Linked DNA regions of Coturnix japonica. The protein of the gene in region 4 purifies or fractionates together with the protein of the main gene of each other region. This does not show direct contact. Links are inferred from orthologs where the notes say so. Each region holds a gene or a part of one and is shown on either strand. Other genes may lie near its edges.

Evidence for each region.
Region 1: the proteins of HDAC1 (region 4) and RERE purify together in Homo sapiens (co-immunoprecipitation; 6 studies listed by BioGRID and IntAct, counting the BioPlex papers as one, with this or other methods). This does not show direct contact. The link is inferred for Coturnix japonica from reciprocal best matches to the Homo sapiens genes HDAC1 and RERE.
Region 2: the proteins of HDAC1 (region 4) and SIN3A purify together in Homo sapiens (affinity purification with western blotting; 42 studies listed by BioGRID and IntAct, counting the BioPlex papers as one, with this or other methods). This does not show direct contact. The link is inferred for Coturnix japonica from reciprocal best matches to the Homo sapiens genes HDAC1 and SIN3A.
Region 3: the proteins of HDAC1 (region 4) and ARID5B purify together in Homo sapiens (co-immunoprecipitation; 5 studies listed by BioGRID and IntAct, counting the BioPlex papers as one, with this or other methods). This does not show direct contact. The link is inferred for Coturnix japonica from reciprocal best matches to the Homo sapiens genes HDAC1 and ARID5B.
Region 5: the proteins of HDAC1 (region 4) and CCT8 purify together in Homo sapiens (affinity purification with mass spectrometry; 4 studies listed by BioGRID and IntAct, with this or other methods). This does not show direct contact. The link is inferred for Coturnix japonica from reciprocal best matches to the Homo sapiens genes HDAC1 and CCT8.
Region 6: the proteins of HDAC1 (region 4) and SIN3B purify together in Homo sapiens (co-immunoprecipitation; 12 studies listed by BioGRID and IntAct, counting the BioPlex papers as one, with this or other methods). This does not show direct contact. The link is inferred for Coturnix japonica from reciprocal best matches to the Homo sapiens genes HDAC1 and SIN3B.
Region 7: the proteins of HDAC1 (region 4) and SMAD4 purify together in Homo sapiens (affinity purification with western blotting; 3 studies listed by BioGRID and IntAct, with this or other methods). This does not show direct contact. The link is inferred for Coturnix japonica from reciprocal best matches to the Homo sapiens genes HDAC1 and SMAD4.

The regions. Positions count from the first base shown.
Region 1 is NC_029536.1:2,676,619-2,680,437, forward strand, and holds part of RERE (arginine-glutamic acid dipeptide repeats protein), read right to left. Parts: intron 2,597-3,819; 5' UTR 2,451-2,596; coding exon 2,126-2,450; intron 1-2,125. UniProt on the Homo sapiens protein: Plays a role as a transcriptional repressor during development. May play a role in the control of cell survival. Overexpression of RERE recruits BAX to the nucleus particularly to POD and triggers caspase-3 activation, leading to cell death.
Region 2 is NC_029525.1:1,983,171-1,987,565, reverse strand, and holds the start of SIN3A (paired amphipathic helix protein Sin3a), read left to right. Parts: upstream 1-1,306; 5' UTR 1,307-1,363; coding exon 1,364-1,373; intron 1,374-2,162; exon of another isoform or gene 2,163-2,326; intron 2,327-4,395. Other genes in the region: PTPN9 (tyrosine-protein phosphatase non-receptor type 9), read left to right, coding at 118-268, 342-549, 632-840. UniProt on the Homo sapiens protein: Acts as a transcriptional repressor. Corepressor for REST. Interacts with MXI1 to repress MYC responsive genes and antagonize MYC oncogenic activities. Also interacts with MXD1-MAX heterodimers to repress transcription by tethering SIN3A to DNA.
Region 3 is NC_029521.1:6,795,232-6,799,601, reverse strand, and holds the start of ARID5B (AT-rich interactive domain-containing protein 5B), read right to left. Parts: upstream 2,962-4,370; 5' UTR 1-2,961. UniProt on the Homo sapiens protein: Transcription coactivator that binds to the 5'-AATA[CT]-3' core sequence and plays a key role in adipogenesis and liver development.
Region 4 is NC_029538.1:4,507,924-4,512,374, forward strand, and holds the start of HDAC1 (histone deacetylase 1), read right to left. Parts: upstream 2,991-4,451; 5' UTR 2,606-2,990; coding exon 2,429-2,605; intron 2,018-2,428; coding exon 1,900-2,017; intron 592-1,899; coding exon 517-591; intron 1-516. UniProt on the Homo sapiens protein: Histone deacetylase that catalyzes the deacetylation of lysine residues on the N-terminal part of the core histones (H2A, H2B, H3 and H4).
Region 5 is NC_029516.1:93,548,487-93,553,037, reverse strand, and holds the start of CCT8 (T-complex protein 1 subunit theta), read left to right. Parts: upstream 1-1,673; 5' UTR 1,674-1,747; coding exon 1,748-1,807; intron 1,808-3,423; coding exon 3,424-3,514; intron 3,515-4,287; coding exon 4,288-4,367; intron 4,368-4,551. UniProt on the Homo sapiens protein: Component of the chaperonin-containing T-complex (TRiC), a molecular chaperone complex that assists the folding of actin, tubulin and other proteins upon ATP hydrolysis.
Region 6 is NC_029543.1:3,317,058-3,320,876, forward strand, and holds part of SIN3B (paired amphipathic helix protein Sin3b), read right to left. Parts: intron 3,528-3,819; coding exon 3,344-3,527; intron 3,124-3,343; coding exon 2,529-3,123; intron 2,040-2,528; coding exon 1,870-2,039; intron 1,321-1,869; coding exon 1,147-1,320; intron 904-1,146; coding exon 811-903; intron 521-810; coding exon 426-520; intron 15-425; coding exon 1-14.
Region 7 is NW_015439872.1:57,672-61,975, reverse strand, and holds the start of SMAD4 (mothers against decapentaplegic homolog 4), read right to left. Parts: upstream 2,973-4,304; 5' UTR 2,935-2,972; coding exon 2,520-2,934; intron 1-2,519. UniProt on the Homo sapiens protein: In muscle physiology, plays a central role in the balance between atrophy and hypertrophy. When recruited by MSTN, promotes atrophy response via phosphorylated SMAD2/4.

The DNA.
Region 1 (3,819 bases), on a different chromosome or scaffold from region 4:
GCACAGCAGACAGAGGAACATTGCAACCAAGGGCTTCATGGGTACAAAGCACAGACCTCCAGCACTCCTGATCACATCAGAGCATTTAAGAGACAGAATCAGACAAATGGAAAAGATTTTCTTTCCCTGAAGCCCTGGAGATGTAAGCAGCAGACAGGTATCCATCCCACACACACCTCTAACATCCAGCTTCCTAATCCTTGCTGGGTGAGTCCTGTTGACTTGAATTCTCTTAATCTCTCTCAAATTGTACATAATTTATATCCTTAGTATATACTGTACATCACCCTTTACAGAACCTCCTAGCCAGAAGATGTAAGATTTTCACCTACTACGCTTCTTTTAGAATATATACTATGCAATGAAGTGCGAATTCAGAAGCTCGTTCCTGTTAGGAAGTTATGTTTTAAATTAAAGTATTAAAAACCTCAAGCAGGTCCATTATGGTCTCATCCTTGCTCACACCCCTCCAGCACTGCACTAACATTCATCCATAGGAGACCTAAGTATCTCAGAGTCAGAATCACTCACGTGGAAAGGACCTCCCCCCCTATGTTTCCTGCTATGTCTGTACATGGCCCTTTCTCTTCTGAACAGATTATTGTGTAAGGAAACAATAAATGCTATCTGCTCCTTCCTTCCATAGCTCTCCTGCAATGGTGTAAGCTGTGCTTCCTGCTGCCCTGCAGATACACCTCCAGCCATGTGTCGCTGCATCAGTGGCACACAGAGCCCTGCAGCCCCGAACAAAGCACTAATTCTCCTCCAATCCGCTCCAGAATGAAATTGAGAGCACTGTGATTTTCCATCTTAATTTGACGCCAAGTCTTTCTGCGGTGAAAGCCAGCATATCGCATTGTACTGCTGGGCCCACACAACAGCTGTTCCTAACATACTCGTATTTTTCATCCTCTGACACTGAAAATAAGATTGCTCCAAAGCTGATCCTTAGGCAGGCTTCCTATTGCTACTGCTCAGGCAACAGATACCACCCAGCTACAAGCCCTGCACTTCAGGGCACTTCCTTCAGCCTCACCTGGATAGAGCATTTCACCCACTTACATTACCCACACAATGACATTCTGGTACTTGAGACACGCTGTGCCTCATAGAAAAAAATCAGACAAGCTTTTACCTCTCTAGTTTCCATGGATTTTATTTGGAATTCATCTGATTTGCTCCAGCAGCATTACTACACCAACAGCAATCGTCTGACAAAGAGCAATATAAAGCCAGCAGAGCCCCTAAGCCAGCACTCTGAACAGTACAGTCCAAAACAACATCCCTCATGGTGAAACAGACAACTGCAATTAACTACTAAAACACAGCACAAATGAACATGGGGACATCAAAAAACAAGGAATACAACCAGGTGAATAATCTCTATTTTACTTTCAGGAAGGAATTAGCTGGCAACAGCCACAGGTTACACCTTGAATCCTTATATATGAGTCTGAAAACCTCATGTGAACCATGCAGCAATTGAATGGCACGTCCAAGATATGCAGAGTGTAATATAAGCTTCTCACTGCTGTCCTCACACCCAGACACCTGCTGACACTGGTGGCTTTGCTCAGTACACACATTGCTGTGCACAGGCATTAGCTATATTAGCTATTATATATTAGGAATTGGGAGGGAGAATGAATGAGATAATGGGTGTGAGATCTTAACTCACCTGATTTACTCTACAAGGAGAAGAGATGAGGATCTCAACAAACAAAATGGATTTGTAGAACAACTTAGAAGTGGGGGGGAAGATGCCACCTCATCCATCCTCCAGCTCAGATCACATCTAGTTTCAATCTCAGACCAAGGTGCACAGTGCATAGTCCAGCTCAATTTAAAACAGGCTTCCCATATGAAACAAAGTTAATGGAGTAGAAAGTGAAAAAGGTGGTTCATTCTTAAAGGAAAGCTCACAACCATTTCAACAAATGGGATACTACAAGATGTATCTGTAAAGTTTTGCATATGGATCCATAATAGTCTCCAATGGAAACGTGGCAACCTCCCCCATACAACCACAACCTGGAGCAGGAGCACAGCACACGCTGCAGCCAGCTAAGTGCTATAGCTAAGTGCACAACTAGCTGCAAAACAAACACAGCACAGAACTTCTTACCTCCAGGCCTGTATACAACGTCATCCTCCGTGATGAAGGACGTGATTTCACCGTTGTCTGTTCTCTCATACCGGGATTTCTTCTTGGGTGGTTTCTTTTTGCTTTTCTTTGTGGACTCCTCCGTGGTGGCACTGTTGTTGTCATTGTCCTCATCTTCGCTGTGGTCACTCTCTGCATAATTCTTGGCACCTCCTTCCAACGTGCAGCTCCGTCGAGGACGCGAGTTCTCGCTCTCCCTCACCTTATCTCTTTTGTCTCGCTCCTTGTCCCGGTCTCTATCCCTGTCCTTCTCTTTGTCTTTGTCTTTTTCTTTGTCCGCTGTCATGATTCGCCACGTGCCTTCTTCTGTCCTCTCACGGCTGGGCCTCCGTGAAAGGTAGACAGTGAGCCTGGGCTTCAGTCTTCTGAATTTCTCACTCAAATCCAGGAAAAATTCAACCACTCCAACAACCCCAGCGTTTTAAAAAGGTTCTTGAAGGAGGAAAGGGGGAAGAAAGAGGGAAAAAAGCCAATGTTAATATTCGCCATTCTCTCATATTTGAAAATACCCATTAAAACAAAAGGAACCCACGCCCCAAAGTTATTTAGTACAGAAAAATCCAACGCTGCAAATACAAGATGGTCCTTTGAAGCACTTGTGGAAACAACAGCTTCACCCACCTTCCCAAAACCAGAGCGAGTGGTTTTACAACCAAGCTGCAACCCAAAGAGCACAGCAATGAATGAACTGAAAGGAAACCACAGCACTTAGAAAACTTGCTTCTCCACATATCATGCTTGCTTTACAGCTAACAGAAGACAGGAAGGTGGATTTTACATGCCACCAGCTTCACACACTCAGTTTCCTGCTGGGGAATAGGACGGGAAGAGATAATCCAATGCTTTTACCTCCTTGATCATTTAATCAATACTCTTTGCATCAACTGCGTTATTTTTTCCTTCAGTGTGAGCCTACAGTAAGCAAACCTGTATTAACTGTTGCAAGAGAACTGGCAAGCCTTGTCCTATGGGCCAGGATCCCCATAGCAAAGCCAAGAGCACAGAGGAGCTGCCCACCCAGCTCCCCCACTGCAGGCCAAACAGCACCAGCCCTATGCAGCCACATCCCATTACTCTTTGTACTCAAAATGGAGTCCAAACGCCCTCCCTGTTGCTCAGATCAAAATGACCATGACTGCATTCTACACGCTACACCTCACAGCAACAGCTAGCAGCGCTTTCAGTCTCCAGAGAGGCTTCTAGCAGCTGAGACATCCATCTTCCCATGGTCATCGATACAGGGTAAGAGCTGGGAAACCCATCATGAGAACAAAAAACAAACTATGAACAAGCAAAGAAGTGCTCAAAACACTTCACACCTCTTCAGAAATGATACCCGATACTCTCTACAAGAGAATGCCAATGCAGTGAGTCACATAAGCCATGTCATACAACCAGTTTGTCATCCCACTGCCTCTATTGCTCTTCCAAAGAGGTCAGGCTGCTATCCTAAAGCAGAGTTCGGTCCCATCTTACACTGCAGATTCCATATCATTCATAAAAATACAGCAGCTCTAACTCGAATTTGTGTACTAAGTGTGTACCAACCCCATCCAACACACAGCTCCCCAGGATGCCACACTACCACTGTGAGCAGGAATAGCTGCACTGAGCACAAGGCTACAGCACCTCCAGCACAAAACACGGGGCCTAAA
Region 2 (4,395 bases), on a different chromosome or scaffold from region 4:
GGTTTTGCTATTGGATCAGCTGCTGTCACAGCCAGAGAGCAGCTGATGGGACACAGGGCACCACACGATGCTGGCAGGGAAGAACATTATCCCCGTGTCACCTTGTCTCATCCGCAGGCTGGAGGAGGGGGGCAGGAGGAAGTGCGGCCAGTACTGGCCCCTGGAGAAGGATTTCCAGATGCGCTTTGGGGCGCTGACCATCACCAACCTGGGCGTGGAGAACCTCAGCCATTACAAGAAAACCATCTTAGAGCTCCACAGTGCCGAGGTGTGTGCTAAGGTTATGTGCTAAGGTTGTGGCGGGGCTATCCCATCCCACTGACCACCCCACTCACCCTTAGGGCAAGGAGCGGCGGTTGCTCTCTCACTTCCAATACCTGAGCTGGCCGGATTACGGCGTGCCCTCATCGGCAGCAACACTCATTGACTTCTTGGGGGCTGTGAAGCAGCAGCAGCGTGTGGCTGTCAGTGCGTTGGGACCACGCTTCAAGGGGCACCCGGGGGGTCCTCCGCTTGTGGTCCACTGCAGCGCCGGCATCGGCAGGACGGGTAAGGAGTCCAGCACAGTCCAGCACAGGGGGGGTGTTGCATTGCATTGTGTTGGCTGAGCGTTGCTTGCCTTCATCCCCAGGTACTTTGTGTGCGTTGGACATCTGCCTATCGCAGCTGCAGGATGTGGGTACTCTGGACATCCAGCAGACGGTGCAGCGGATGAGGACACAGAGAGCATTCAGCATCCAGACCCCGGAGCAGTATTACTTCTGCTATAGCGCAGTGCTGGAGCACGCCCAGCGCCGCGGCCTGCTGCCTGCCGCCCACAAGGGCTCGGCCGGGCACTGACACAGCCCTGCCAGCTGGGAACTGTGCCTTAACTTCAAGCAAGCCGGGGCAGGAGGGACAAAAAGAAAAGGAGGGGGGGTGGGTTGGGATGGTTTATTTTCTTATGATTTTTATTCCTTTTTGGTCTGTTTGTTCGTTTCTCGGTGGGACCATCTAGACTGTACGCAGAACAGCCCTGAAGGATGGGGGGGGGGGGGTTGTGTTCCCAGCGCAAGCTGCTGCATCGGGAACTTTATACTGTAATAAGCTCTTGGAATGTGTATATTCTTATTTTTTTATAATCCCGGAGCGTGGGGGAGGAGCTTTTTGGGGGTGTTTTTGTTGGTTTTTTTTTTCCCCTGTGGTATTTAACATTAAGCGAGCAAACCGAAGAGCGATCTCACCTCCGAGCTGCTTTCTCGTCGCTCCTCCCCACATCAGCCCCCCGAGGGCGGTCCGGCGGTGACGAACGGCCTCGTAGGGCCAATGGGCCCCGGGGGGAGTTCCCGTTTCCATTCAGGACGCCTCGCTGCGCGCTCAGGGTATGTCACAGGGTATGTCACAGCGCTGCCCGCCCAGCGGGCCCCTCATGTGGGGTGTGATGGGATGGGAAGGCCCGGGGAGCTCTGAGGGGGGAGGAAGCGAGGCGCGCTCCCGCGCTTTTCCCGCCCGCCCAACGGTCGCCGCGGGAGCGCGCACGAGTGGGGGGGGAGCGCGGCTGTGTGTGTGTGTGTGTGTATGTGAGTGTGTATATGTGTGTGTGTATGTGTGTGTGTATATGTGTGTGTATGTGTGTGTGTGTGTGTGAGGGGAGGGGGTGGGGAGCGCCCGCTCCGCCGCCGTGCGGTCCCGCCCCCCGCGGCCATTGGCTGCTGGCTGTGTTCCCCCCCCCACGTGCTGGCTCCCGGAAGTGGTGTGGGGTCGGTGGGACAAAGGCGGCGTGGCGGTGCGTGCCGGTCCCGCGCGGTCGGTGCCGCCGCCATCACGGCCCGGTCCGCCCCGATGTAAACATCCACAAAAGGGCTCCCCGGAGAGGGGGCGTGGCTTTATACCCCCCCGCGACGTGACGGCGGAGCGGTCCGCCGCGCTGATTGGTTGCTTCCTCAGCCCGCCGCCCAATGGGAAGGCTGCGGGGGCGGGAGGGGGCGGGGCTTGCCGGCCGTACGGACATTTTTCTCGGGTCTCGCTCCCCCCTCCCCTTCCTCTCCACATCCCCTTCCTGGCGGCCGCGGCCAATGGGGGCGGGCGGAGGGGGCGGGCCGAGCGAGGCGATTGGGCCGCGCGCTGAGCGACGCGTGGCTCGACCAATCGCGAGGCGGGTCTCCCCCCTCCCTGCGGCGGGGAGGGGCGGGATTTCCCGGGGAACAGAGAAGCGGGCAGCGTTCCGCCGCGGCGGCCGAGCGGCGGTTACACACATCGGCGCCCCGAGCCTCCCCCGCGGGCCGAGCGCGGGGCTCAGCGCAGCGCCGGGACGGAGCGAGACTCCGCCGGGCACCGCCGCCTCCAGGTGAGGGGAAAGGCGGCATCGGGGGGACGCGGCGCCGTGAGGGGCTGAGGGGGGGGGAGCAGCCATCCGGCGGGGCGGGGCAGGGCAGGGCCCGGTACCGCGCTGAGCCCTGAGTGTGTGAGTGTGAGTGTGTACGTGTGTGTGTGTGTGTGTGTGTGTGTGCGGGGGGAGCCCGGCATGGCGGGAGCGGCGGGCGGGGCGAGCGGCGCTGGGCGCGCTGCGGGACGGAGCCTCCCGCGTGTGTGTGTGTGTGTGTGCGGGGGGAGCCCGGCATGGCGGGAGCGGCGGGCGGGGCGAGCGGCGCTGGGCGCGCTGCGGGACGGAGCCTCCCGCCCATCGCGCCGCCCACTACGCGGGGCCGCCTCAGCCCCGCCCCGCCCCGCCCCGCCCGGCTCAGCTCGGCCCAGCAGCGCTGCCCTCACGGCTCCTGCTTCCTGCTTTGGAGGCTCCTCTGGCGCTTCCAAGCGAGCACGAGGAGCCTGTGCTGATTCAAAGCACCTGTAGGATCCTGCTCCCACACAGCATCACAGCATGACCCGGGTCGGAAGGGACCTCGAGGATCACGTAGTTCCAACCCCACAGCACGGCGTTAGGAACAGCCCCACTCCTTTCCTCCCCACCCCCCCAGCTGAGGGGCAGCGTGAGTAAAGCTGGGGCTGAAGCAGGGAGAGCGGCCAGAGGGCACCCAGCCCTTCCTCTTACACAGGTCCCTTCCAAGCCCAACTTATGCATGGTCACTGTGTCCAATGGGGGCATAGAAACCTTCAGCACGCCCAGCGAGGTGGTACATAAATAAGAACGTGATCCCGTTGCGTTTAAGCCATGCACAGAGCGCTGCTGTGTACGGGTGCTGGAAGACATAGCTCACGCTGTGCTCATGGCCACCAGTCTGCTGTGAGCTTGTCGGAAAGGCATAACCATGACAGGAGTGAGTTGCTCACCTTCCTAGCATGTATGAGCCATACATACTGGGAAGCCATCGTGGCTGGTGAAGCCAACACAGTTCTATGGCTGCTGTTCCATGCTGCAGGGCTATGGGTGCACTCTCGGTGCTGTGCTGCTTTCTCCCAGCTCCCCTGGCTCTGCTGTCACAGAGTGGCTGCAGGTACTGCTCTCATTCTGCCTGCATGTGAGAAGGGAGACCATAGGTAAGGATGCCAAGGCTCGAGGAGAACCCACATGGCAGGGCATACCACGAGCAAGCAGCCAGGATGTCACCTCTCTGATCCTGAGCCACTCATGGGCTGCTTCCAAGCTTTGGGTCCTTTCCACCTTAAGAGCAAACCATCCTCACTCTACACAGCTCAGTCCAGGTACTAACGCTTAAAATTCAATGTGACAGCAACGTTGCTGCTAATGTGAGGATCTGTGAGTTTGGGGTGTCCTTCCAGCCTGCTCAGGCAGCAGGTGACATGCAAAAGTGTCCCTCTGCTTGGGATTTGTCCTCATCTCTGGCTCTTAGTGGCATCAGAGCTCCTCTCTAGAGGTTCATATTCACAAGGTGCCTGTAGCTGGCATTCTGCAGCCTCCTAAGGGCTTTAAAGCAGCTCCTGCAAATCTTAGATGCTTGACCGGCAGCTGTGCTGTTCCCCTGTTTCAGGAGTGTCTCGGGTTTGCATCTGCAAGGTCTGAAATCTCTCTTGTGGGGTTGGGTTTCACAACTTGTTCTTGAAAGCATCATTTGTGTGTGCAGAAGTGTTGTGGCTCCAACAGGTGTCACGCAGCAGACCTGCACTATTCACTGCTCTCCTGCAAGGGGAGAACTTACAGCCCAGGAAAAGGAAAGTGAAAAAGCTTTTATCCTCCTGTGGAGGGGTGTATTCCTGTAAGGAGATGCTCTGATTGAAGTTAAAAGATAGATTGGTGCTGGGAGGGAGGGGATGCAGGTCCATGTGGTCTCTATAGAGTGGAGCTTGCTCTGTAAAGCCATTGCTGAGCATATAGATGGATGCTCTTATTGGAGGACAGTACCTAAAGTTTGTGGCTTGCTCTCAGTCTCACCCAGACCATGCTGTATTTCGCAGTCTTTATTTTTCCCTCCCCAATTAAGCATCGCAGATGATGCAATT
Region 3 (4,370 bases), on a different chromosome or scaffold from region 4:
TACAATTTTAGGAAGGAAACAATGTGGTAATTTTAAAATTCAAATTAGGTATTGGTGCAGAGAAAGAGAAGAAAAGCTTGAGAGCTGAGTTGTGGCAAAATACCGTGGAACAGGTGAAAAAAACACGTTTTCTCTTTTAGCCTCCTTTCACATCTCTTTTCACACCAGCCTCTTCTTTGAATAATGGCTTTCCATCTTTTCAAAACTTCCATCCTCTGCCAGTGCAATGCAGGGAAGTACTGCTGGAAAAGCTTTTCTTTTACTATTAGATAATTACTGGTTGTTCACTATCTCATTACAAGATCCTTGCAGAGACCAAAATTTTACCATGCAGATGCTAAAAACATCAATATTATACCTCACGTAGGAAAAACTGTAGTGTTTCTTCTACCCACTTTCCCCTGGAAAACCCCCACTAATTTGGCAGATATGGTGAAGTGTAACACACCTTTTCTACAAAATCTGCCTGATTTAATTTAAAGGCTTTGCAGGGTGGGAACCTGTTAAGAACTGCGTTAGGTATGTATATGGTAAAGAACACTGTCACATCAACAGTGCAACAAAAATTGCAGATTATTATGCCAAAGCCTCAATTTTTGGTAGGTCCCAGAAATGACAGTATACTTATTTTTAGAGACGACTATAGCAGTAACTCAACATGACACGGGAGACTTTAAAAACAGCAAGTCTGATTTAAACCAATGGAAAAGCCAGGAATACAGACTGGAGACTGTACTTAATGCACCATATTGCATCTGAACATTTTGTTCCTACCCATCTATCCAAAGCATGACGTTTTGCATTTCATATTAACATTCTGAAGATATGAAAGGATTCTTCAAACCGATGTTCATATGCCGTGTCACAGCACGTACTCTGACTGCTGAGAGAGCTGTTATGTCCACCTTTTAATCATGTCCCCGCCTTCACCTTCGCCTTCCAACCATCCCTCCTCCTATTCCCAAAAAAAAACCCTGGGGCTGTTTTTATTGGTAGCACTATTTCAGCAGGAAGAGCGCTACAAATATCATTAGCTCAGCAGGAAGAGAGCTACAAATACAGTTTGTGGGATTTGAACTCCACTTTGGATTTCTGCAGTACGTCAGCTGTTATGCATATGTACTAAGAGTGAATGCTAACAAATCACTGCAGTAATACTTGATGTTTATATACAAATTCTCATCTTCAAAGCACTTCAGAATTTCCCAGTTCTACAAAATCTGGGAGAGGGAAGAAGAGATGCCGGCAAGAGCCTTTTCTTTAGTGTTGATCTTAACACGATCATCGTTAGTCCCTTTATGCTTCACCATATAAAAAGAATTTTGCAGTCTGCAAATTTGACTGAAGTGCTAAATTGCCAACAACATTTTCAGCAAAAACTTACAAAAATAATTAATTCCCCTTCCATACAGATGGCACTTTTCAGGAACTCTGTTCTTACCTTTGAATTCAAAACCAGGGAAACCTGTGGTATGAGCATAATGCCCTGGGAAATTAATTTACATAGCAAAATAAAGGACATCTTGATTTCAGAAAATTATATATATACATATATTGCAGAGCAATAAAGGAACATAGAACATAATAATGAATCTTAGATATTTATAAAGATTTTTACAGGGTATATCAGTAATTCCTCATGAATTACTTCAGTGTTCCAATGGGAAGTGAGCTTTTGTATCTGGAAGGAAGCCTGTATTACTGTGCTGGCCTGTGGTGGATAGGAAAATGAAGAAAACTTGAAGCTCATTGTTACCGAGCCCGCTTCTGATCACACAGCAATAGAAGGATTTTCCTCAACGCATGAGACCAAGCACAATATTCTGCTCGCTGAACATTTCAAACAATTGCTTTACAAGAGCTCAGCGCCCACATCTGACATGTCCTCTAAGAACTATTTCCAGGCTATTGGCACCCAAACGCAGCCAGCGGGTTCTGCCCTGAGCGTTGGAGCTCCTTCTGGCGAACAACGTGCAGGCAATGCCCCCTCCTGGCTGTGCAGGGCAGGCAGCAGCAAACAAGGCCTCCAGGTACACTATTTGAGGGTGGTTTGTTTTTCTGCCTGGGATGGATCAGGCTTGCAACCCTTTTTTCATTATCATCCTAAAAATGGGCATGAAGTGGAATAAAACCTAAGGTTTGATTTAATGAGAAACAAATATAAAATTATAACTAATGCAACATTCTATTTCTCAGATATTCCATTAGACATGTGGGCCAGTCTTCCCACGTGAGAGCATGATTTGCATTCAGCATGCTTTCTGGGGCACGGAGTTTTGTAACATAACATTTTTATACAGTCTGTGATTTTGAAACATAGACATTAAAGCAGTTCTACTTATATCATTTACGCTACAGTGAGATTCCTCTTGTGTTTAAAGCATTTCTGTGTCTGAGAAAGTCTGGAAGCATGTTAGCATACAGAGGGGTGGGAAATGCATTCTAAGATGAAAGGTTACATGCATTCCAGAAAGCATTCCAAGGAAATCAAAAGGCAGCCTTTGTGGGACAACTGTAAAAATGCCAGCTCCTTTTTTACACAACTTTACTGTAGTGCAAGTAACAAAAAATAATGAAATATTAAATGAGTTTGAAAGCTTAGGAAGTAATTTAAAATGAAATTAAAAATATTGCTGATGAATAACCATAGTGGAAAGTGTTTAGTTACACATCAATTAAATTCTCTCCTTTTTGTATCTGCAATACCTCAAATGATGTTTTCTCTGTGTGTATTCTCCTGCTAGCCAAGTATCCTGAAAAAGCAGAAACTGTTAAATATTTCACAACTGGAAGAAAGAAAGAAAATGAAACCAGTGAGATATTTTTTTTTTTTTTCTTAAATTAAGACTTCCCTTCAGAAATAAACTGAAATTCAACATGCTTGAATCACATATCCTTCTGTTTACAGCCTCCCACTTAAGTCTAAGCTCAACAACAACACTGGCAGAACAGAGTAAATTTGAGGAACTGAAATAAACTATTTCTAGATAGCAGTTAAGTGAAGCATCCTGTGCACCAAAGTGATGATGTTTGACGCATCACTCACCAAACCTGTTTCCGAAAAAAACATCACCTTTCTCAATTGGCTAGTTAAGATCTTTTAATTGTTCTGTCCTCAAAGTTTTAGCTTCTTGCATTTACTGCCTTTCTCTTAAGTCTGCCTGTAAAGAAAATCAGAAGAGAAAAAAAAAGTGATTACGCTGGAGCTATCTTTGGCTGCACATTGTCTTTGTGGTTTTGACACAGTGCGGTGCAGTAAGACTGACATTATCCTACCCACCCTCGTGTTCTACAGACGTAACAGTGTTTCAGCCTGTACTTATGTGATAACACTTTATCGTACTACTATGTGCCACCCCAAAGTATGGTATGTGTGCCATGCACAGGAAGCGATCTGGGACAGCCATTTCTCACACACCCATGTCTTGGGAGATAGACTAATTTGCCTGCATTCTCAGACAGCCCTTACCAATAAACACCAAATCAGAAAAATTTCTTTGGGATTTGGTTGTTTCCACTGTTTTCCTTTGCTGCAGATGTTTGTTCTCTAGTGTAATACATTTTATTGAAACTGCTGGAATTAGAAAGCATTACTGAAAATGAACAATAAAAAACACATTCCGGTGTTGCTGCTTGTTTTTCTTAATTACAAACACAATTATGAATGTGTATCATATTCTGGAAGTCCGGACTGCCATAGATCCTAAGTGCTTAATTTGCAATGCAATATTTGCGGGGGAAGGTAGAAAGGTTCTAAGACTTTTTAGGGATAAAATGATAAAGTGTAGCCGTCCTTGATTTGATAGCATTTAGAAATGTGGGATTACTAGAACAAAGACCACAAGTATTGGAGTTTTATGGGGAATTTATGTGTATTTTTCAGTCTCAGTATACATCACTGCAAAGAGACAAGAGAAATGGGAGTGAAATGAGATAGCCCTTCCAAGAATTGTGAAAGTTGTTGACACAACTGGAAATGGCTCAGAGGTCCTTTAAATGCTACACAGAATCTGATCCTGAGTCTAGATATACATTCCCAATGTGTTTCATATGATTTTGATACAGTAAATGGATTTGTCCCAGAAAAGCTTGCAGTAACTTGCCACGCTAGGAATGTTTTGCCTTGCTCATCCTGGAAATCTCTGCTATTACTTTTGAATGCATTTATCTAATTTCTGCAGGTATTGTAAAGAAGAAAAGCTCTTAGCAGAGATGTTAATGAAATCAAGGTCAGATGAAAATCACACATTTCGTTTGTTCTTAGGACAGGAATAATACAACACTGGCTAGGTTCTCTGTCATTTATAAAGACACACTGAAGGTGAATGTGAAATCAAGTAGGTAGATCTAATGATGGTATCATTGTTCCT
Region 4 (4,451 bases):
GTCACTGGGGGAGTAGCAGACACAAAGCCCTACTGTAGATGCACAGTATCACAGTCCTGAAGTACCACATCTCCTTGGTACAAAGTGTTTTAAATGTTCCAGCTTCTGCCTCATGGCCAGAGACATTGGCTTTCTGCTAAGAACAAGAAAAATAACCCTTTCTTGCTTTTTAGCTGGCACCTACACCAGGCAACTTCTGTGCCTTTGCTTTTCTGTGCAGCTCACATTACTTATTTTTAATTATTACTGGTAAAACCCCACTGCTGTCAGGGTTCTGTCTATCACCTTTGTGGAGTCATCCAAGAAGTAGCTCAGAGTAATAAAGATACATTTAACAAACGCAGAGGGGTCTGTCAAAATGCAAAGCTGGAATTCCAGCATGGGGAGAAATCTCAACCTGAGGAAGTCAGAAATAGGCTCATAGGGCTCCCCCACCCCCACCTACAACAAATCACTTTTGCAGAACAACTTGATGTAAATCTGCTTAGGAAAAGACTGTACGACGGATGAGCTTACCAACTGAGCCTCCAGCAGAGAGCTGACAGAACTCAAACAGCCCATCGAACACAGGACAGTCCTCCCCGACGTTAACTTGAAAAGAATACATAAGAATTAGTAAGACCAAGTCACAAAGCATTGGTAAAGCTTGTACTACCTGTCTGATTAAAGAAAAACCCAAAACCTAGCCTGATAAGGACTTTAATCAACTGAAAAACAAACTGAAAAACACACAAATGACAGGACATGAAGGTGGTCCCACCAACACTGCCTGCATGGTTTGCTGCTATGGAAGGATGCTCCCAGCTCAGCAGGTGCCAGGAGCTGCAGTGGGACAGTCACGCCACCTACCGGGTGAAGGCTCAGAGGGAGGCAGGAACCAGTCAATCATCTCAGAAAGGAGCGTGCAGGGAGAGATGCTGCCCATGAGAGCTGCACTGTACCAGCACAGGCCCTCACGTTTGGCACATTGACTGTGCTGGGCTCTATTTGGCAGCTGGTGCTGCTCAGCAGGGCCATGCACACACTGTGCAGGAAGGAGGCAGCACCCCCTGCCATTAAACACACTAACAGCAGGCTTGTGTTAAATCTACATTTTAAAACTCCTTCCCCTCTGCTCTGAGCCTCCGGTGCAAGTTTCTCAGCCAGGCAGAAGCTTGTTCTTCCCAAGAAAGCAAAGGCAGGGGTTTCCTCTCCCTGCTGAATAAAAGATCTGCCCTCTGTGTGTTTAAGATTAATTTTCATATTTCGCCTCCTTCAGTTAAAAACAGTTCTGTGGAAATAGAATAGAGAAAACGTTGACTACCAGAGAGCAGAGTGGGTGTCTGTGAGCCGTATCAGCTTCAGGGGTAAACAGTTCAGTTTGTGTAAATACATTCTTTGGTATATTAAGTCAAATTATTTACTATAGGAGGTCTTTCAATGTATATTACTTGTGAACCATACTATTCATTCCTATTATGTGCTTGTGCCTAAACATCTGTCCCTTTCAGCTAATACCAGGGTTTCAAGTGCCCTTACTGCAGGCTCAGGACTCGTATCTCTTTTAATTTGGAAATCACATTTGACATAAACGGATCCTGTGGGCTTTTCTCTTTTTTCCTGCTCTCAAGGAATGCAGTGTATCAAACTAATGATTAAAAGAGACTTGAGCCTCCCCCATCTATTTGCCTTTATGACCTGATACAAAACATCACCTCAGAGTTTAAGACAGACCGAAAAAAGGAAAGGTTTCTGTAGCATTAAAGCTGCCAAGAGATCCTCAGCACCTTCATGGACTGCAGAGGTTAAAGGAACTGGTTATCTCACAGAAAAAGAAAGAAGATTCTGACACAAAGCAGACAGATACAATCGCACAACACTTAGCACTGACATGAACACAGCCCCACACACACAGCTTACATCTTTGCATCTGCTTGCTGTACTCAGACATGTTGTCTGGGCGGATGGATCTCAGGAATTTGATGTAGTCATCACTGTGGTACTTGGTCATCTCCTCCGCGTTCGCCTTGTGAGGGCGCTGCAAGGACAGAGGGTTTGGTTGGGAACACTGCCCTCCCCACATCCCATTTCCAGTCTCAGATTTACTCCCAGAAACAGCAAAAATAATAAAATAAGTAAATGAAGCAGCAGCACTAGACAAGAGAAATTTATTTTCAAAGGCAAAAAAGCCATTACCAGAGACTGGAACATACTACATATCCAGGTACAGAAAATATTTAAGCTACTGAGAGCAAACCAATTTTCCAGACTCCAAAGCTTATCTGAAGCAAAGAACATCTCACTGCAAGGAATCAGAATGCAGCAGAAATATGTCAACACAACCATTTAATCCTTTTTCACTTTCCTCTTTGGCTTGTCAAAGAGAATTTAAGAGCTTGAAGCACCAAAATTACAACTGACAACACACTTGTTTTTTCATCACACTTACATATATCTCCATCTTCCTGTAAAGGCCGTAGTTCAGCAGTAGGTTGTGGGTCATCCGGATCCTGTGGGGCTTCATGGGGTGTCCCTGGCCATAATAATAGTTTCCAACATCACCTGGGAACAGAAAGGATTTTGTTACAGCAGGGAAAAACACGAACTGCTTCAAATACAACCACATCTGTCATCTCATGTGCCCATCAGCAGCCCATCTGTTCACAGGGGGAAGGGGCTGCACATGCATCTGCACCATCAGAAAGCTTTATCCCAGACCCAAACAAGACTGCCTTATGGACAACAGGGTATGGCCAAGTATGGGGCTTCCCTAAGAAATACAGAGCTCTCTGAGCAGAAACCTGCAAGCCAGGAGGCACAGGAGTTTAATCCCAGCTCAGACAATGACTCACCAGCCAGCACACGTAGCCACTTTGCCTCAGTTTACTACTGTTTACCCAGCAGACATGAGATACAAGCTGCCAATTCTGTCAATAAGCAAATCACAGCACAGCTATAGCTTTACAGCTCCCATTATTCCCATCCCTTATTACTGCCTGAAACCCTTTGGAAATCCTTCACCAGGTTAATTTAAGTCGGCACCTCACAATTACACCCCACAGCTCAGCTCCCCATGCAGATGTTCCTCCTCCCAGTAAAAGCTGAGCTCCTGCTGCCATCTCCCACTGGCTTTTTCCCTCCTCTCCCAGGTCACACATTTCCGTGGTGTTTTCCATAGAATTTAACTCAGGTTTCTGTCCCTGCCTGACGTGGCCATGAGAAGTGCTGCCAAAAGCAGGGAACGCACTGAGCCACACGCAGCAGCGACGCTGCACAAGCCTCATGTTGTTGAGAAATCAAACTAAGTCATTGGCATAGTTTTACAGCTCCCCATCAGCTTACGAAGCAAGAGACTCAACCCGGTCTGCCCAGTGACTCAGCTGGGAGCATTAATATTTCATCACCAATCTTAACATACAGGAGAAACTGCTACTTCCTCGCAGCACACAGCCGTGATGCCTCCTCCATGGGCATGAGCTTCCATTTAAAGGACATGCAAACCCCACACCCAAACCATTCTGCTGCTGGAGTTCATCTGTGTGATGCTACAGTGAAAGGAGGTGGGTTTTGCCTGCACCAAAACACTTCCTACAGCAAAAGCAGGGTATGTTAAGCTTTGGGGAGCCATTGGGGGTGTTCAAAACTATATCTAGGAAACACACACACAAAGCTTTGCAAATGTATTGCCTCCCTTCTTTCCCTTGGGCTGCCAGCAAGACCCCAGACGTGTCTCACCACAAGTCCTACCACGCTGCACTGAGCTCAGCAGTGCTAATGGGTGCACATTAAGTGTGAGAATTCAACACAGACCTCTTCCTGTCTGCTGGGTTAAGCAGAGCCCCATGTTGGAACAAAAGAGAATTTCCCATACGCAGCCCCAACTCACCTCAACATGAACATGAAGGACCCCTCCACACCACATTTCTTTTTCCCCAACCTCTCCACTCAGCCCAGACCCTTCCCCACAGCTCAATGAGCTCCCCCCTGTGAATGTTTGCCAGCCCCTCATAAAAGAGCAGTGGAAACAAGCCACTAAAACCTCCCCACAGAGTAAATGGGTGAGGGCAGCTACAGGCAAGGGGGAATAACACTAACTTCATTTTGTTACCGTGCAATAAGGACCATAAGGATATAATTCTGCTTAGCATTCACAGCAAGATGATCACTTATTCTGTGTTTAACAGACCATCTCATGCCTTGAAGGATGTTAGCTGGTAAACTGGAAAGTATCCCTGTGAACACCTTAAGATTCTAAGGAGGGAGAAGTTTGGACACAGAGAGATCTTCCACACCCGGGTTGCTTGTGCATAACCAGCACCCTGCCGCTTCCTGCCAGCACTCTGTGCTTAAACTGGGCCTGACTGAGCCCAGGGCTCCAGCCCCAAACTGCACTTTGAGATGCTGGGGCTCCACAGGCAGCTTGTGTGCTGAATTCAGGCAGTTCTGCTGCTCTGATCCCTTCCTCCTCCTCA
Region 5 (4,551 bases), on a different chromosome or scaffold from region 4:
AGTCCTCTAACGACTTCTGGCAAAAGCTCACACAGTCTTCTGAAGTTGGTTCATGGAGCGCCTTATTTTTATTTTCTATTAGCACTCCTTATTACAATGTCATGATAAGTTAAAACTGATGACATTTTAAGAATTACAGGGTGGTAAAACTAAACGAAGAATGTTCTACTGAGGATGCTTAAACACCACATCTCAAGTGATTTCATTAAGCTGTAGATGGTCTACTTACGATGCAGAGGTGAAGCAACTCAGTCCCTGTTAGGCTACAAGCTTATTGACTGTGTGGCCTAAATTCAGCAATATTATTTCCCTTCTTTTTCAAGGTATGTGTTTTCCACAGCTTTCTCCTGGAGAAACTGTCTGCTCATGGCTTTCATGGGTGTACTATTCATTAGGTAAAGAACTAGCTGGCTGGCTGGGCCTGAAGAGTTGTCGTGAATGGAGTTAAATCCAGTTGGCAGTGGTCACAGGTAGTGTTCTCCAGGGCTCAGTATTAGGGCCAGTTTCGTTTAACATCTTTATCAGTGATACTGGTGAGAGGATGAAGTGAACCCCTCTATAAGTCTGGGTAGTACTGTTGATCTGCTTCCTATGCTCTGCAGAGGAATTTGGATGGGCTAGATTGATGGGCCATGTCCAATTGCATGGTTAAATGTCAAGTCTGACACCTGTGTCATAACAACTCCGTGCAATGGGGTTGACCAGCAGAAAAGGATGGGGGAATGCTCTTTAGCAGCCAGATGAACACGAGCCAGCAGCGTGCCCAGGTGGCCAAGAGGGCCAATGGCATTCGAGCTTGTATCAGAAATAGCGTGGCCAGCAGGACTAAGGCCATAGTGAGCAATGGCAAGATGACACTTCGAGTGCTGTGCTTAGTTTTCACAGAATCACAGAATGACCCGGGTTGGAAGGGACCTCAAGGATCATGTAGTTCCAACCCCCCTGCCTGGCAGGGCCACCAAACATACACATTTACTAGATCAGGTTGCCCAGGGCCCCGTCCAACCTGGTCTTGAACACCTCCAAGGACGGGGCATCCACAACCTCCCTGGGCAGCCTGTTCCAGGGCCTAACCACTCTCCTAGTGAAGAACTTCCCCCTAACATCCAACCTAAATCTTCCCTCTTTTAACTTAAAACCATTTCCCCGTGTCCTGCTATTGTCAGCCCTTTAATGGCTGTCAGTTTTGGGCCATTCCCTACAGAAAGGGTGTCAAGTTGTTCAACTGCATGCAGAGAAAACAAATGAAGATGGTGCAGAAAAACAGTTAAGAGGAACAGCTGAGGGAACTGAAGCTGTTCTGTCTGGAGAGGTGGAGGCTGAAGGGAAGCCTCATAGCTCTCTACAGCCGCCTGAAAGGAGCTTGCAGTAAGGAAGACAGTGTTGGTCTCTTTTCTTGAGTGCCAAGAGACAAGCGAGGAAATAGCCTCCAGTTGCACCAGGGGAAGTTCAGACTGGATATCAGGAAAAAGTTATCCACGGGAAGGGCTGTAAGGCAGAGTCCCCATGCGGTGGTTTAACAGTGGCTTTGTCAGTTAGGTAGACGGTCGCTCTCGATGATCTTAAAGATCTTTTATATTCTAAGGCCGCAGCCCAAGCGCCGTCCATCACCGCGCTGTGGAGAAGCCGTACGGCGCGCTCGATCTCCCTGTCAGCGGCTGGTTGTGTCTGCGAGTCCGCCTCGCTCCCCGCGCATGCGTGCTGCCAGTCCCAGCATCCTGAGGCGCGGCCGGAGCGGAGAGGAGCCATGGCGCTGCACGTCCCCAAGGCCCCGGGCTTTGCCCAGATGCTCAAGGAGGGAGCGAAGGTGAGAGCGGCCGGGTAGTGAGCGCCTCCCGGGCTCCCTCCTTTCCTCCCCTCTTCCCGCTGCGAGGAGGCTGCGGGGCGTTTGGGCATGATGGGCGGGGAAGGTTCTGGAAGGCCCGGCCGCTCCACGCGGTCTGGGCTCTCGGTTGCTCCCCTCGGCCTGTGGGTGCCAGTGCTGCTGAAGGATGGAATAGAAAGAAAGCAGCTTATTGTAGGTGGAAGAAAGGAGTGAAGTTTTGCTTGTTGCTGGTTAATACAATGGAAAATAAACAGCTCAGCCCTAATTTTGTTCTTTTTTGGAGGCTTCCTTGGAGAGAAGGAATGGTTTCTTTCAGAGGTGGGGGAGAACAGAGTGCCATAGATGCTGGTACTCTAAAAGCAAAGATCGATGATAGAAAGAGCTGTGTTCTACTGAATGAGAAGGATGTGTTCTGAGGTGCTTGTTCTGCATGTAGAGAATAAATAGTTATTAGGGAGGTGCATGCTTATGGTGGCCTTCCAGAACCTGAAGGGACCTATGGGAGAGCTTTTTCATAAGGGCATGTATTGACAGGATGAGGGGGAATGACTTTAAACTGGAAGACGGTAGATTAGACTAGATATTAGGAAGAAATTCTTTACTGTGAGGGTGCTGAGACACTGGAACAAGTTGCCCAGTGAAGTGGTGGATTCTCCCTGCCTGGAGGCATTCAGAGCCAGGCTGGATGGGGCTGTGAGAAACCTGGTCCAGAGGGAGGTGTCCCTACTATAGCAGGGGGTTGGAACTAGGTGATCCTAAAGGTCCCTTCCAATCCAAACCATTCTATGTTTCTCTCTTCTGGGAGGCATAGACTATGGCTTACCTGGTTTACAAGTAAAGCCCTTTCAGGAGATCCATTATTTCCATTTGAAGCCAGGCTGATCAGCTTCTCAAACACCAATATTTCCTGAATCATAAAATCATTTAGACTGAAAAAGATGTTCAAGATCATCGAGACCAGCCATGAACCTGACCTGAGACTCATGACTAAACCATGTTACTTGGTGCATGGGCATACACACTCCAACGTGTTAAATTAAGTCACTGAATTAAAAAAATACACAGACTGACTACTTTTAAATTTTTAAGCCACTCATTTCAATGTGAAACTGAGTTACATGACTCTGTGATGTGGAGTTATAGGTAAAAAAGCAAAACTCTGTTGCATGTCCCCAGTCCTACCTTCTTTCTCCAGGCTGCTCTTGGTTATTTTCTAGCTGCATTTGGTATGCCATTAATATTTTAGTAGTCTTTTGGCGTATGAAGGGGGGCTATAAGAAAAGAGGAGATGGGGAAATGGTTTTGAACTGAAAGAGAGACTTAGATTGGATGTAATGAAGAGATTTTTTACCATAAGGGTGGTGAAGCACTGGAAGACGTTGCCCAGAGAGCTGGTAGATGCTCCGTCCTTGGAGATGGTAAAAGGCTGGATGGGGTAAAAGGCACCTGATGGAGCTGTGCATGACCCTGCGTATTGCAGGGGAGTTGGATCAGGTGGCCTTTAAAGTTTCCTTCCAATTCAAATGATTCTATGATTATTATTAGTGCCTCTTTGAGAAGTGACTAGTTCTGAGCAGTTTTGTCTCATTTGTTTTTAGCATTACTCGGGACTAGAGGAAGCTGTCTACAGGAACATCCAGGCATGCAAAGAACTTGCTCAAACCACCCGTACAGCTTATGGACCCAATGGTAAGTAAATCATAGTATCATAGTATCACAGTCTCGTGCGGGTTGGAAGGGACCTTAGAGATCATCGAGTCCAACCCCTGGGATTTGAGCCCATGTGTAGCAGAGCAGCACTTCTACCACTTGTGCCACAGGGGGATTCAAAGCTGGGCCCTCCGGTGTTACAAAGCGGCATTCCTACCACTGTGCCACACTGAAGCTGCTGTAGTTATTTTGATCAGAATGGTGCGTCTGAAGGCTAATCTTGCCTTGACAAAGAGGCAATTAATTGTGTCTTGAGAAAACATATTGGACTTGCTGTAGGACTCCAGATAAAGTTGTTGTGTCTGGTTAGTTCTGAAGCTATGCAGTATGTACCTTCTTTTGCTGGGGTTTTTGTGCCTGTTTTGCTTCAGTTACTTTGTCCTCTTTGCTGTCTGATTGCTGTATGGAAGACCTGCAGAACTTAGAGGAAAGATGGTAACTCGGTAGATAGTCAAGATTAATGTAACCGTACTGTATTCTGATAGATACACTGTATTCTGATAGATACACAACGACAACAGTGTTCTCCGGTGCCAATTAAATTATGCACCAATGTTTCTGAAAACTCCTTGTTCAGAAATAATGAATTCTTGATAATGTAATGCATTCCCAAGTGTTATTCACAAAAGTACATGCATCTGAAGTTATAAATAGGGCTCGTGTTTTAATGTGTCAGGTGAACTAGAAAGCTATGGAAACAATATATCTGTACAGTGCAACAGTTGCCTAATAAATACTTTTTTTCCCACTAGGAATGAACAAAATGGTTATCAACCATCTTGAGAAGCTTTTTGTTACCAATGATGCTGCTACTATCTTGAGAGAGTTGGAGGTGAGTTCTCTTAGAGTGGGTCAGTTGGAAGAGACCTTCAGAGATGAGAGTCCAACTGCTTGACCACTTCGGGACTGAACAAAAATTAGATCATGTTGCTGGGGACACTATCTAAATGTGTCTTGGAACACCAAAAGCCAAGGGGCATCAGCCACCTGTGCAGGAAGCCTGTTACAGTGTGTGA
Region 6 (3,819 bases), on a different chromosome or scaffold from region 4:
ATTTCTTTAGGTTTCTGGAACGAAACAAAGATTATGAAGCATTTGTCACACGTGTTTACCCACTCTCTTTTTACCCAGCTAGCATTGCCGACAGCACCAGTATGAAATGTATGTTTTAGTTTTCAGACTCTCAACAAGTAGTTACCAAAATGGAAACAAACAAACTAGACCTCAAATTCCCCCCAGAAAGGACTGCTTAGGCAGTCCCACTCCATCATCAACACACCTCAGCGCAGTGGTCATTAATTTTTTTCTTCAGCATTCCTGTACAGCACATTGAACACCAGCAGTCCCCCTGGACCTCAGAAACGAGTGCATTTCCCTAGAACTGCCTGTGCTGCACATCACCTGCTATCACTGCCAAACGCTCAGAGGAAGCAGGACCAGCTGACCCAGATATGACTCAGGAGAGGGAGGGAGCTCACCTTTGCAGAAAAACTGGTTTCAGTAAGAAGCCATCATTCTGGCTGTTGGGTACTCCTTCTACCCCAACGTACTGCTCCATGTAGTTAGCAAGGTGCTACAAGAGATCAATTTCAAGTCAAGACTTCTCTCAAGATAAACACTGCTGCAAAGGACTAGTTTATTTCCAGATGCTCTTTAGGAAGCTGCTGGTACCTCACCCAACCCCAAGATGATTTATGTTGGACCTGTTTCATTAACACACACATTTCTGTCAATGCCCACACCTCCCAGATAAGCTTATCTTCCTGGCAGAAACTCATATTTGGGATTAAGAAAGCTGAAAAGCATTCTTAGACATCTGTTTTGTCTGTCGTACAGCAGACTCCATGGCCACAAAAGTATTACCTGGACCTCCACCGGATCTTCTGTTTGGGTTTCTTCTGTATCCAGAAGCTCAATGGTCATGATCACCTGTCCCTTCCGCTGTAGAAACATTACCTGTAAATGACAGGTGAAAGATGTTGGCCACGAGTCCACAATAAAATGATGGATATTCACAAGTTGTTTGGACAATAAATACAAGAACAGGAGAGGCATAAGCAACAAGGCTTTTCAGTGAGTCAATACACCACCGCACTGTCTATGCTGTTTTTGGTACCCCTGTTTCCATATTGTGGCCTTGGCACTTTAAAACCCATTTCTCCCAGGTGAAGTGGCACAGTCCTGGCAGCAGGTTCTCACCTTGAAACAGTTCTCATCTGCCATGCAGCGTTCAGCCTTCCACTGATAGCTGGTCTCCTTTGCTGCCCGGACACACCTAGAGGATAGGTTACCTCCAGCAGCACCTCGCTTCCTTTCATTCAAGTAGAGCTCAACAACCTTCAAGCAGATGTCATCACTCACTAAATGGTGAAGCTTCCATTAAAAAAATGGAGAGAATTCAGTTAGCAGTCTGGGCCAAGACTTAACTTCAGTGTGTTATGAAAGGAACACAAAACTAAGCATAGCATCATACAAAATATCAAAGATTTAACTCCAGAGACTTTATATACTTTATTTTACCTTTCATTACTTTGCAATATAAGGGAAAAAAGAAAGTAAGGAACTAATGTGCCTAATTTAACAAATAAACAACAAAAACCAACCCTACAATTAGAAGACAGATATTGCATACAAGGGACAAAGCCTTTCTTTTGCCTTCGATTTATCTTGGAAATGGCAGAATTTAAAGTCTGGAACTGAAGAAGTGTTGGAAAAGGCCAGGAAGAGTCAGTCCCCTGAGGTGGGCCCTGTACTGTAGCAGATACTGAACTATCGCACTGAACTTTTATTAAGCCCTTTCTGCCACAGATTTAACTTCTATACATTTGCTGAAAGTTTTGAGAGTTCTTGCATTACAGGTGCTGTAAGAAAGCTATTTGTCCACAGAAGGGAAACATGCTGTCCCCCAAAGAGCATAGTTACCTGGCGGACAATATTCTGCACCAGTTTGTCCATAGTAAAGCCAATATAGGCATGGATAGTGAACATCTCCCTTAGCGTGTCCTCATACTGTGTTGGGTCAATATTCCCATCCAGCAGGCTCCTCACCATATCCAGGAATGCAGGGTAGTACTCCTCCAGTTCCACCTCACCTGGACAGAGGAAAAGAGCAGTCACTTACTACATGCAAAAGGCAGAGTGCAGTCAGGTGTACAGGACAGCACTGCTCGAGAATCATGACATTCAGTACTCGGAGAACCTTTGCAGAATTCTCTCTCAGGAGAACTGACATACTATAACAGTTCTTCCTCAAGCTCTTTTGCAGTACTTTGAGTGGTTAACGGTTTCATCAGAGAACCATTCACATTTTAAAACTAAGTAACACTTTAATACAAGATACTTTGGGAACACTGGACAGCTGTGCACTTGTGGGAAGATTTTATAAACTATGCGTGAAAGCCCTCAAAGGACAAATTACAAACGAGCTGTCCTGTCAGATCAGCTGTACCCATGAACTGCAAACAGAGCAGAGGTTTGGACCCCTACATTCCTTGCCGGCTGGTCGCAGTTACCCAGATACATACAATCAAGCACTAACAACCAGAACATTAATAATGGACTACGTCAGAGCATATTCTTACTTGGCTGCTTCAGTCTTAGCTCCATGGCTGGATCATTGGTCTTTTCTTTTCTCCCCTCACAAAGGAGTTTCTCTCTCTCTTTTTCAGTCCGATATTCTAGAAGCTGCTTCTGTGCTTGACGATAAATCTTTAGGAGCCTTGAGCACAGAGTCTGATGAAGGCGGAGGAAGAAATACCAATTATTATTGACAAAGAACAGACTGTAAACATCATCCAGAGTGTTATGGGGCTCAGTAGCTGTAACATCACAGAAGGTTGCTTTTGTCTCCAAAGGACTGCTTGGAGGCCCAGGCACATGCTTTTTCCGTAGCTCTGGAGTATCCAGGTTCTGCCCCTGCTGGTTTTCTCTGTCTTCATCTGCTGATTCTTCAGAAATACTGTGTTCAGGAGGCTGAGAGAAGAACAACTCAGGTATGAAGTGGTGCACTATCTGCCGAATGGTTGCTTGATCCTCCTTTTGGATGGTAGGCTGACGTTTTACATAATAGCTGATAAGAGATGCTGCGTCTTCCAAAATCTGCTTATCTTCGTAGATAAAGATAAGATGAGGCTCATTTGTGGATGAACTTCTCCCCTCTGAATGCTGCTCCTGATGCTGTAATCAAGAGACAAATAGATAAAAGATCCTTCCACTCCATCCTCAAGTGCCATTCCTGCCATAAGAAATAAGCCAGGATTAACTCTATGCTTGGGACAGCCATTTTGGACTGAGAACTCTTCAGAGCACCTCAAGATGATCCCAGGCACGGAGCGAACCTTCAGACAATAGTGTAAATGAAGGACAAAGAGAATTAATTATTCGCTAGCATACATACCTCATCATAGACGCTCTCAATTTCATTCAGCAAACTCTTGGAGCGCAAAGCTTTGGTGTCATTTTGTTTGAAGTTGACAGCCTGGTGGTCAAGGGACTTCAGATAGGCTTTCTCGTACTGCTCACGCCAAATTTTGTTGAAGCCCTGCTGGGCCTCCCGCCACTCCTCCTCTTTTGCTTTCAATCTGCATAAATGTACAATCTACTTCAGTTTGAAAAGACAAATAAAAGCACCATCACTGGAGATAAGCTGTCCTTTCTAACAGTGTCTACCAAAACCAGCTGTTTAAAAATGCTTGGAAGACTAGAAAATAACAACAATTTCCAACACCTTAACTTTCTCATTGGAGATCATTTCACAGAACCTTTCAGCATTGCAAAAAGAAGTGTATGACCCAAGTATTCAGAAACAGCAGGACAGAGAAGAAGGGAGGACTTAAAACTCATATTTTGCTCCCAAATCAACCTCAAAAACTT
Region 7 (4,304 bases), on a different chromosome or scaffold from region 4:
TCTCGTAATGATACGGGTTGACACACACACTGTCACACTTGAGATCAAACGCGTACTGACAATACTTGACGTGCTTCAACGCCATAGGATCCAATGGGACCCCATAGACCCCATAGGAATCAATAGAACTCAATAGGACCCCATAGGATCCTATAGGACCCAATAGGACACCATAGGATCCAATAGGACTCTATAGGACCCAATAGGAACCAATGGGGCTCCATAGGAATCAATAGGACCCCATAGAACTCAATAGGACCCCATAGAAACCAATAGGACTCCATAGAACTCAATAGGACCCCATAGGAATCAATAGGACCCCATAGGATCTAATAGGATCCCATAGGATCCAATAGGACCCCATAGGATTCAATAGGACCCCATAGAACTCAATAGGACCCCATAGGATCTAATAGGACCCCAATAGGACCCCATAGGATCTAATGGGACCCCATAGAACTCAATAGGACCCAATAGGACCCCATAGGATCCCAATAGGACCCTATAGGACCCCATAGACCCCATAAGACCCCATAGGACCCCATAGAACTCAATAGGATCCCATAGGAACCAATAGGACCCCATAGGACCCCATAGGATCCCAATAACACCCTAATAGGACCCCATAGAACTCAATAGGACCCCATAGAACCCAATAGGACCCCATAGGATCCCAATACGACCCCATAGGACCCCATAGACCCCATAGGACCCCATAGGATCTAATAGGACCCCATAGGATCTAATAGGACCCCATAGACCCCATAAGACCTCATTGGACCCCATAGGAACCCATAGAACCCAATAGGACCCATTATAAACCCCGTAGTCCCTTACGCAAATTGCGTAACTCCTCCCCATTATAAACCCCTATTCCCTTACGTCAATTGCGTAACCCGACTCCCACTTACGCAAGCTCCGTATCTCCCCCCCATTATAACTACCGCACTCCCTTACGCAAATTGCGTAACCTGAGCCCTCACTTACGCAAATTGCGTAACTCCCCCCATTCTTTCCTATGGCCTCCCTTACGCAATTTACGTATCTCCCCCCATTAAATCATAGGACCCTATAGAACTCAATAGGACCCCATAGGACCCTATAGGACCCCAATACGACCCGATAGGACCCCATAGGACCCCAATACGACCCCATAGGACCCCATAGGACCCCATAGGACCCCATAGAATCCCATAGGATCCAATGGGACCCCAATGATACGGGTTGACACACACACTGTCACACTTGAGATCGAACGCGTACTGACAATACTTGACGTGCTTCAACCCCATAGACCCCATAGGACCCCATAGGATGCAATGGGACTCCATAGGACCCCATAGAAATCAATAGGACCCCATAGAAACCAATAGGACTCCATAGAACTCAATAGGACCCCATAGGAATCAATAGGACCCCATAGGATCTAATAGGATCCCAATACGACTCAATAGGACCCTATAGGACCCCATAGAACTCAATAGGACCCTATAGGATCTAATAGGACCCCAATAGGAACCCCATAGACCCCAATAGGACCCTATAGGAACCCAATGGGAATCAATAGGACCCCATAGAGCCCCATAGGACCCCATAGAGCCCCATAGGACCCCATAGGATCTAATAGGACTCCATAGAACTCAATAGGACCCCAATAGGACCCCATAGGAACCCATAGAACTCAATAGGACCCTATAGGATCTAATAGGACCCCATACACCCCAATAAGACCCCATAGAAACCAATAGGACCCCATAGGAATCAATAGGACCCCATAGGAATCAATAGGACCCCATAGAAACCAATAGGACCCCATAGAACTCAATAGGACCCCATAGAACCCCATAGAACCCCATAGGACCCCATAGGACCCCACAGACTCCATAAGACCCCAATAGGACACCATAGGACCCTATAGGACCCCATAGGATCTAATAGGACCCCATAGGACCCCATAGGACCCCATAGACCCCAATAGAACCCCAATAGGACCCCATAGGCCCTAATAGGACCCCATAGAGCCCCATAGAACCCAATAGGACCCCATAGAACTCAATAGGACCCCATAGAACTCAATAGGACCCCATAGAACTCAATAGGACTCCATAGAAGCCCCTTACGCAGTTTGCGTAACTCCCCCCCCATTAACCACCATAGTCCCTTACGCAAACTACGTAACTTCCCTTACGCAACCTCCGTAACTCCCATTATCGAACCCCCCGCCCTTACGCAAACTGCGTAACTCCTCCCATTGGCTCCCTAGTCCCTTACGCAAATTGCGTAACTTCCCCTACGCAAACTCCGTATCTCCCCCATTATTTCCTATGGCCTCCCTTACACAAATTGCGTATCTCCCCCCATTATATCATAGGACCCTGTAGGACCCCATAGGACCCCAATACGACCCCATAGACCCCAATAGGAACCCATAGGACCCAATAGGACCCCATAGACCCCATAGGACCCCATAGGACCCCAATAGGACCCCATAGGACCCCATAGGACCCCATTGTACTCACCGATCCCAGGCGACACCACCCTCTCGTAATGATACGGGTTGACACACACACTGTCACACTTGAGATCAAACGCGTACTGACAATACTTGACGTGCTTCAACTCATTCTTATGCAGGTCGGGCCACCTCCATAACCTCGCATAGATCACATGGGGGAACCCTTTCCTCCCAGCCACCTGCAGCCTCCCGTCTAATGTACGTTGTATAGTCACGCATTTACTCGGGTGAGCCCCGTTGGTCGTAATGGCGGCGATGAGAGAATCCAGCTCGTCTTTCTTCTCCTTCAGCTTCTTAACGAGGCTCTCGATGGCTCGTTTGGCGAAGGTCTCGCTCTCTCCTCCCTGTCTGTGGCACATTAAGCTGTGCACGATGCTCAGACACGCGTCGTTGCTGCTGGGGGGGGTGGAGATGGACATGGCGGACACCGGGAACGATGGAGAGCCCGATGGAGGCCGCTAAGATGGAGGGACGCAGCACATCCGGGTACTTAGGGGGGGTTCCGGGTTGGGAAGCCGCAGTACATCCGGGGATTTGGGAGGGACTTCCGGGTTTGAGTTACATCCGGGGATTTGGAGGGACTTCCGGGTTTGAGGGACATACGGGTACTTAGAGGGACTTCCGGGTTTGAGTTACATCCGGGGACTTCCGGGTTTGGGAACCCGCAGTACATCCGGGGATCTGGGAGGGACTTCCGGGTTTGAGTTACATCCGGGCATTTGGGAGGGACTTCTGCATCCGGGAACTTAGAGGGACTTCCGGGTTTGAGTTACATACGGGTATTTAGAGGGGGCTTTCGGGTTGGGAACCCGCAGTACATCCGGGGATTTGGGAGGGACTTCCGGGTTTGAGTTACATCCGGGGACTTAGAGGGGACTTCCGGGTTGGGAAGCCGCAGTACATCCGGGAACTTGCAGGGACTTCCGGGTTTGAGGGACATCCGGGGACTTACAAGGGACTTCCGGGTTTGAGGGACTTCCGGGTTTGAGTTACATCCGGGGACTTGGAGGGGCTTCCGGGTTTGAGTTACATCCGGGGACTTAGAAGGGACTTCCGGGTTGGACGCCCGCAGTACATCCGGGGACTTAGAGGGGACTTCCGGGTTTGAGTTACATACGGGTACTTAGAGGGGACTTTCGGGTTGGGAGCCCGCAGTACATCCGGGGATCTGGGAGGGACTTCAGGGTTTGAGTTACATCCGGGGACTTACAAGGGACTTCTGGGTTTGAGGGACTTCCGGGTTTGAGTTACATCCGGGGACTTCCGGGTTGGGAACCCGCAGTACATCCGGGGATCTGGGAGGGACTTCCGGGTTTGAGTTACATACGGGTACTTAGAGGGGACTTCCGGGTTTGGGAGTGAGCATGAGTTACATACGGGGATTTAGAGGGGACTTCCGGGTTTGGGAACCCGCAGTACATCCGGGGACTTGCAGGGACTTCCGGGTTTGAGGGACATCCGGGGACTTGGAGGGACTTCCGGGTTTGAGTTACATCCGGGGACTTCCGGGTTGGGAACCCGCAGTACATCCGGGGATCTGGGAGGGACCTCCGGGTTTGAGTGACATCCGGGGACTTGGAGGGACTTCCGGGTTTGAGTTACATCCGGGGACTTCCGGGTTGGGAACCCGCAGTACATCCGGGGATTTGGAGGGACTTCCGGGTTTGAGTTACATACGGGTATCTGGAAGGCACTTCCGGGTTTGGAGGTGCGCATGCGCAACATCCGGGCACTCGCGGCGCGGCCTTAAGAGCCGCCTCCATGTTGCGTGCGCACAACGGGGAGCGGC